Linked DNA regions of Bombyx mori. The protein of the gene in region 2 purifies or fractionates together with the protein of the main gene of each other region. This does not show direct contact. Links are inferred from orthologs where the notes say so. Each region holds a gene or a part of one and is shown on either strand. Other genes may lie near its edges.

What was found.
Region 1: the proteins of uncharacterized protein LOC101740701 (region 2) and YAP65-like protein purify together in Homo sapiens (affinity purification with mass spectrometry; 6 studies listed by BioGRID and IntAct, with this or other methods). This does not show direct contact. The link is inferred for Bombyx mori from reciprocal best matches to the Homo sapiens genes MPDZ and YAP1.

What each region holds. Positions count from the first base shown.
Region 1 is NC_085111.1:12,002,526-12,006,357, forward strand, and holds part of YAP65-like protein, read right to left. Parts: intron 2,677-3,832; coding exon 2,534-2,676; intron 1-2,533. UniProt on the Homo sapiens protein: Transcriptional regulator with dual roles as a coactivator and corepressor. Critical downstream regulatory target in the Hippo signaling pathway, crucial for organ size control and tumor suppression by restricting proliferation and promoting apoptosis.
Region 2 is NC_085134.1:2,048,401-2,052,834, reverse strand, and holds the start of uncharacterized protein LOC101740701, read right to left. Parts: upstream 3,083-4,434; 5' UTR 2,918-3,082; intron 1-2,917. UniProt on the Homo sapiens protein: Member of the NMDAR signaling complex that may play a role in control of AMPAR potentiation and synaptic plasticity in excitatory synapses. Promotes clustering of HT2RC at the cell surface.

The DNA.
Region 1 (3,832 bases), on a different chromosome or scaffold from region 2:
TGATAAAAAACTGTCATGGAATACACACATAAATAACCTTAAATCAGAATGTTATAAAAGACTAAATATAATAAAGTCTTTATCGTCCACTGGATGGGGGTCAGAAAAAAGTTGCTTAATTAATATATATCGTACTCTGATCAGGCAGAAGATAGATTATGGCTGCATTATTTATGATTCCGCCAAAAAACGAACACTAAATTCCTTAGAAAGTATCCAGAATACTGCTCTTCGTCTAAGTATTGGTGGTTTTAGAACAAGCCCCATTAAATGTATCCTAGTTGAAGCTGGTGAAATGCCATTAGAATTTAGAAGGAAACAACTTATGCTTACATATATAACAAATATATTAACTCAACCTGAAAATCCCACCTACCATTATTACACTAAAGTAACAGCAGTTGACACTGAATATGAACTCCAACCTAATTTATCTCAACCCTTACGAATCAGAGCAGTCAAATACTTAGATGAATTAAATCTTAAAATTCCAAAATTATTTACAAAAAAACTACTTACTTCTGGTCCATGGGAAAACTTAGAATTGCCAGTTAACCTTGAATTAGCCAACTATAAAAAAGGTGATACCCCTCAGTGTATATATAAAAACTTATTTTGTGAAATTAATGATAGATATAGAGGTTACAAAATTTATTACACAGATGGTTCTGTAAAAGATGGACATTCAGGTTGTTCAGTAGTATCTGCTGATAATTACTACAGGTATAGACTAGTAAATTTTAATTCTATTTTCAGTTGTGAGGGAATAGCTATCCTTAAGGCCTTAGAATTAATACACAGTCAACCTAATACAGACAAATACATAATATACACTAATTCGAAATCATGTTTGACAGCGTTAAAAAACCCAAACAACTTAAATAATCTTATTTTAGAAATTAAAAAAAAAATGGTAGATCTATTAAAAGAAAGTTACAAATTTGAAATTATATGGATTCCAAGTCACCAAGGAATAGCCGGTAATGAAAAGGCTGACCAGGAAGCTAAAAATGCAACAAGTGATTTTGAAGAGGTACAGCTAATCATTTCCACTGCATCAGATGTTCAAAAACATCTCAAGTTCAAAATTAAAACTCTTTGGGATAATCAGTGGAAATTTGAGAACCCATCATTTTTATTTAAAATTAGAAATTCAATTTTTGATAAGCTTTCCTTTTCCTTAACTAAAAGAAAAGACCAAGTGGTTCTTACAAGATTGCGGATTGGACACACAAATTTAACTCATATACATCTTATTACCAAAACAGATAAAAACAAATGTAAGTGTGGTTTGGATCAAACTGTGGTACACTTGTTAGTTGAATGTAAAGCATATGACATAGAAAGACAATTTTGTAAGCTCCCTGATAATTTAACAGACTGTCTGACTCAAGATGGGTATAAACAGACCCTTAGTTTTTTAAAGATCATTGGTTTGTATAATTTAGTATGATGTTGAAGTCAATGTAACTTAAAATGATACTGTAAACTGTGGTCGTTAATGACCCTAGTTGTTAAAAAGCGACCTTAAATAAATAAAAAAAAAAAAAAAAAAAAAAAAAAAAAAAATAAAATAGTTACTGTACAGTGTTCAAATTACTGTTTCTTAATCAATTACTTTTAACGCAATGAAATAATTCTAGTCAATCAATTCCAATGGTCTAAGGCCCACCCACGCAGACTTTAAATAACTCTTCATACATCTCACTTTATTAACGGATCAATATTATTTTAATTCAGTATCCTCAATGAATTAACTACAATAAGGAAAGTTGGTAATTAAATTATACATTGGAAAACCCTAAAACTTCATAAGTCATAGAACGAAGAGCGAAAACCAAAACATTTAATTGACGTAAACACAGATCTATTTTTATAATTTTTATTAAGAAATTTTAAATATTATGTATTTTTAATGCTGATTATTGTAAATAAAAAAATCGTGTTTATAAAATATTAAGAATTGCAATCGTCACGGTGGCCCTAATTTCGTTAATTCGATCTTAATTATGTATATCACATTATCAATAGGGTACATAAAATAACCATTTGTGACTGAAGCGTAATAAAAGTTCAAGGTACGTAGTGAATTGGTTTTTGACAAAATATCTATTTCTATTCTATTTAAATCTTCGTTATCTAAAAAGCACTGTCAAAAGTTTATAAAGGAACCTACTATATACGTCACAAAGAATTGCTTTTTTTATCGCTTAGCTGGGTGGACGAGCTTACAGCCCACTCGTTGTTAAGTGGTTACTGGAGCCCATAGACATCTGCAATGTAAATGCGCCACCCACCTTGAGATATAAGTTCTAAGGTCTCAAGTACAGTTACAACGGCTGCCCCACCCTTCAAACCGCAACGCTTTACTGCTTCACGGCAGAAATAGGCAGGGTGGTGGTACCTACCTGTGCGGACTTACAAGAGGTTCTACCACCAGTATAAGTCGCTTAAAGAATTGAGTAGGTAGTATAAGAACAGTTTCAGGTTAATAAAAGGTAAATTTTGTTTACAAAGATCGCTATATTCTTACCAGGTGTGGCTGTGTTGGTAATGGTTTGTTGTGCGTTCTGATTGAGCAGGGCTTCGGCGGCTTGATGCTGGACAGTGTTGGCCACGTTCTGCGCTGCGAGAGTTTTCCGCGGATCATCCCATGTCGTCGTTTTTGTTATGTGACTGTAAAGATGAGTAATTACATTAATTTAACTTCTTCGTTAGCTTCGATTAAGCTAAGCTAAGCTAGAGATCTAAGCTAGAGAACGAATCTTATAATATTAACATTAGGTAAGGCTTACATCGAATTTACAATTGTATGTTTTTGGGGTCAAATGTATTCCGCTGAAAACAGGCTGATGGAGCGCGTTATTATTAAAATTCAATTTTCTAAGAGGGGAAGATGAATTCCTCTAAGCAACAGCGGTAAGTAAAGCCTCTGTATACCCAGAGGTTAGTCGGATCGGAATAGATGAAAACGCGAATCATTGTTGTCTGTAGCTTAATATTGATGTGAATAGTTTTTTTTATTTGATAAATAATCTCCCTGTCTCAATATATTGCGAGGGATTGTTCCTACCGGGATTGTTTATTATTATTATTTTATTAAATGCACTTTGTTTGAGTCAGGGGGCGTTCGTTGGGCTTCCGCCTACCGGTTAAAGGGCAGTAAACGGTTGTGTCGCAGTTGAATTGACATCTCTCAACAATTCACGTTCAACCCTGATATAAGAAAGAAATCAACATATAGGTACAGGAGCTGGAAAGGTGATGTGATTAGCACAAAGCGGAACTCTCCACTAATCTAGCCCCAAGGAACGCATCGTTGGTCGTCGATTATCTGAAGTTCGTTTGAGCAGCAATACCAACTCGTAACCCCAGGATACCGCAATAGTTCGGAGTGAGCGTTTGCTTTTTTGCAACAATTATGTCGAAAAACTGAAACGTCATCTTCTTAGGGCCCAAAACACGCTCACACAAAAGTCACAAAGCACTTTAGATTCCCTATCCAGTCACCAGCTCGAATATTAAGCACATTGCGAACCTTTGCTGATTTACATGGTTCGAAGTTTATTTACCCCTCGTCGTGGCTTTCCTTGAACGAGTTTAATGTTTCTGCCATTATAACTTTTTATAAAATAATAATGTGCTAAGATAAATGCTTTAATTTCCTAAAGCTGTAGGCTTCAAAAATTAATTTTCAATTTCCGGCAAATTTAGGTCACATATGATTTACATAGAAAAAAATTGTCTCAACGAATATTCGAAAATCTTTTTTTTCCTACCTAATCTGATGGTCTTGAGAGACCATATCAGCGTAATCGGGCGAGTAGGTGAG
Region 2 (4,434 bases):
ACGAGCTCACAGCCCAACTGGTGTTAAATGGTTACCGGAGCCCGTAGACATCTACAACGAAAACACCGCCACCCCAATTTAGATATGAGTTCTAAGGTCGCGGTATAGTGCAATGACTAGCCCACCCTTCAAGCCGAAACGCATTACTGCTTCACGGCAGAAATAGGCACTTGGTGGAATGGTGGTACTTACCCGTGCGGATTTACAAGACGTCCTACCACCAGTAAGACGTTAATATTTGATACAGAATGCATTAGGGCGAAGATTAAACATTTGAGAGTTATGTACCTACGCCGCGATGTAAGTCGGGTTTGAGCAAAAGACACATCTAGTTCAAATCGGTCACTGAATGAAACCCATGATGGGAACTGCCGGTTTTAACTCATCAGAGTTGAGACTTAAATCTCATGTCTCACAAGGTGGATGTTGCGATGTTATTAGCAATGTCAATGGGCTTTGGTAAGTACTTAACACCAAATGAACTGTGATCTACCTTTTTTTTTATTGCTTTTGTAGGACGACGAGCATACAGCCCACCTGATGGTAAGTGGTCACCGTCGCTCAAGGACGTCAGCAATGCCAGGGGCAGAGCCAAGCCGCTGCCTACCATTAAGTACTCTCCGCAAGCCTCGTTTGAATAAGGACATGTCATAGCGCTCGGAAAACACCGTGGAGGGGAGTTCACTCCAAAGTCGGATGGTACGTGGCAAAAAAGATCTTTGGAAACGCATTGTCGATGAACGCAGCGGCTCCAGATAATATGGATGAATCCTGCTCCGATGGCGGTAGAAGTACCTTAGCAGTAAAGAAATTTTCGTGGCATTTCCATGCAGTAAGCCTGAGCGTTGCTCCGATTGAATATAAAAAAGACGTAAAGACGATCATCTCAAACAAATTTGAATTTAAAAACATCGTTCCATAAGATAAAAATTAAAATAACAATAAACATGACTGAACGAAATCGAATAGCTAGCAACGAAAATAATCTGAATGTTTTGAAGTCGTCGTGGCCTAAAGGATAAGACGTCCGGTGCATTCGTATGTAGCGATGCACCGGTGTTCGAATCCCGTAGGCAGATACCAATTTTTCTAATGAAATACGTACGTAATAAATGTTCACGATTGACATCCGCGGTGAGGGAATAACATCGTGTAATAAAAATCAAACCCGCAAAATTATCATTTGGGTAATTAGGTACTGGTGGTAGGCGGTCTTGTGAGTCCGCACGGGTAGGTACCACCGCACTGCCTATTTCTGCCGTGAAGCAGTAATGCGTTTCGCTTTGAAGGGTCGAGCAGTCGTTGTAATTACTGAGGCCTTAAAACTCATATCTCAAGGTGGGTGGCGGCATTTACGTTGTAGATGTCTATGGGCTCCAGTAACCACTTAACACCAGGTGGGCCGTGAGCTCGTCCACCCATCTAAGCAATAAAATATCTATTTAAATCGACATTCATATGTAAAAGATTGACTGTTCTAATTATCGGTTGTTTTCTGGCACCCCATGAACTTCGGTTCTATCTGTGTTTTCTACAGTAAGTTACATTCTATGTAGGAATTCAGGGAAATCATTTTAAAAGACCATCCTGCTTAACACCACCCCCGACGAAGCGAAGCGCTGCGTTCATCTGAATTTACGAGACTGAACAAAAAAATCCTTAGAAAATATAAATTAAAATTTGTCGTAACAATTGAATATACAATTTTATTTGTTGTGGGAACAAGTCTTGTTTTTTTTTATTAAAAATTTCCAATGTACTTCAGTAGATATTAACACTGAATGTTTAAAAAAGCATTAATCTTTACAGCTATTTGAAAATTTTAATCTGTCAAGAATTTTCTTGAATAAAAAGTCGGCTCGACGCGTTAATTCATGGACATCAATTAAAAGAATACTAAATATATTAATACAAGTGATGTATGTACCTATATATGTGTATATAAGAAAACTATATAAATGTTATTATTGAAATAGTGATTATGTACAATTCCCAATCTATGCCTTTAAAAAATTGTTATAATGTACTTAATTAAGAATATTAAATGAAATCCAAGAATCAGATTAAATGAGTCAAGAAAGAGGACAAGAAAGACCCAAATCCAATACGAATATTGCCTGGTTCTTGTTTTGCTCGTATCTACTCTTTTAATCTTTCCTCTGTGGTACATGTTTTAATTTTAAACGTCTGACTTTTAAAGAAAACTCTAAAGAAAATATCCACTAGGTGTTCGCAGCGTTTGAAATTCGACATTAATCACTGACGCCGCAAGACTTAAATTCATTTTACGTATTAAATTTTGGTTTTGTGAGCTACATTTTTTCTTGTAGAAAATAATAGTTTTCAAATTTTGATATATTAATAATTGAAATTTTTAAGGTTTCAATAATTCACTATGTAAATAAATACCTTAATAAAGTGTAATATTGTTTTCGTTTTTTTTTTGTACTAAATTCCAGCCCTTCCTTTATTTACTTAAATTACTTATAAAATCTAATTTTACATAAATATTAAATACATTAAATTAAAATTTATCGTGTCTTATTTTTTATGACACCTGCATTTGTAATAAAAACTACTGATATGTTGTTATTAACTCCGACCACAGTCTTAATATATTGAATCAAGAAAAAATATAGGAAAAAGGAAAATTTATGAACTAGAATTATTCAAAGGCTGTTTCGTTAAGTTATTCAAAAATTAAAATACCCAATATACATTTAATATCGTCATCATGTTAATGAAAGAGATTTAATTCCCGAATTAAATGCTAATGGCTTCGCCCTTTTTAATTTACATAATCCTGAAAACGTCAAGAGTATTTTGTTAGACAAAAACTATGGCATCGGCGACAAAAGCATTCGTTACAGCTAACTTATACAAAATAATTTTCATATATAGATAATTTTTACTTTACCTCTGTGGACATTCGATGATCCGTAAAACTCCTTTTGAAATAACCGCTAATAATACGAACGGAATGTGTAATACGGTTTACATTTATTAATTCAACATTACATTATATCTGGCTACGTGTTACAGTGGGACACGTGCAAACGCGACGACCGCGGCGCTGTACTGGGTGATGCCAAATTTGACATGCGCTGAGGGAAATCGATGGCGAAAAATTCAACGCATAACGCCAAGGAACATAACTATAATTTTATGGTATTTTCTTTTTTGACGTTCCAATGTCAGTTTTTATGGACATTATATTATACGGTCAACGGTTTTTTGTGTTGGTTTCGTTGGGCAGAAATATTATTAGGGGTTTGATAACATAGCGTAGGGAGTACCCCTCTAGTGACGATATCTTGTTTTATTACTGCACTATAATTATAAGTAATTAGAACAGTGGATCGTGTTTTTTTAATTGCTTAGATGGGTGGACGAGCTCACGGTCCACCTGGTTTTAAGTGGTTACTGGAGCTCATCTTCTTCTGAGTCGGTCTCTTCATTGCTGAAGGTCGTGTCTAGTCTGAAGTGTGGACCACTCGATGCACAATGCTTCCCCACGTCTTCCTGTCCTCGGCGGTCTTGATAGCCTCGGTTATTCGCAGGCAGGTGAGTGTTTTAACCAGATCAGACCAGCGGGTAGGTGAGCGTCTGCGTGATCTTCTCCCGTCAACCTGACCAACTACCATCAGCTTCTCCAAGTTATCGGGGCCTCTACGAGCGATGTGGCCGAAGTACGCGAGAATACGTTGGAAGTAGATAGCGGACAGCCTTGTGGAAATACCGAGCTCCTTAAGAATGGACAGGTTGGTCCGGCGTGCTGTCCATGGAATTTGCAACATCCGTCTCCAACACCACATTTCAAAAGCGTCGATCTTTACCCTCTCACTTCGTCTTATCGTCCAGATAGGAGCTCATAGACATCTATAACGTAAATGCGTCACCCACATTGAGATATAAGTTCTAAGGTCTCAAGTATAGTTACGACGGCTGCCCCGCCATTCAAACCGAATCGCATTACTGCTTCACGGCAGAAATAAGCAAGTTGGTGGTCCCTACCTGTGCGGACTCACAAGAGATCCTTACCAACAGTAAAATTCTCTAGATTTTTTTGTGTTCGGATTTTTTATGTTATAAGTTATTTAGCATCGTTGTTATTTGAAACTGGATCGAAATTTAGAAGCGAATTTAAAAAAAGATGAACTTGTTTATATTATAACATACATAGAATTTAGTCTCCGAGGAAATTAAATAGAATACTTTTGAAGATTTTCCTTCTATTACATTTATAAATTACATACTTTTTGTCTCGATCATAGAATTTCCTTCACTAGACTACAGTTTCTAGCATTAATTACATGGAGAAATCTTAGCAAGGAAATTTCTTAAACATAAATAGTAACCAATTACAAGTAATACATAAAAAGTTAAAACTGCAAATATTCGACTTCACTTTTTGAAGTTATACTTCTTTAGGCG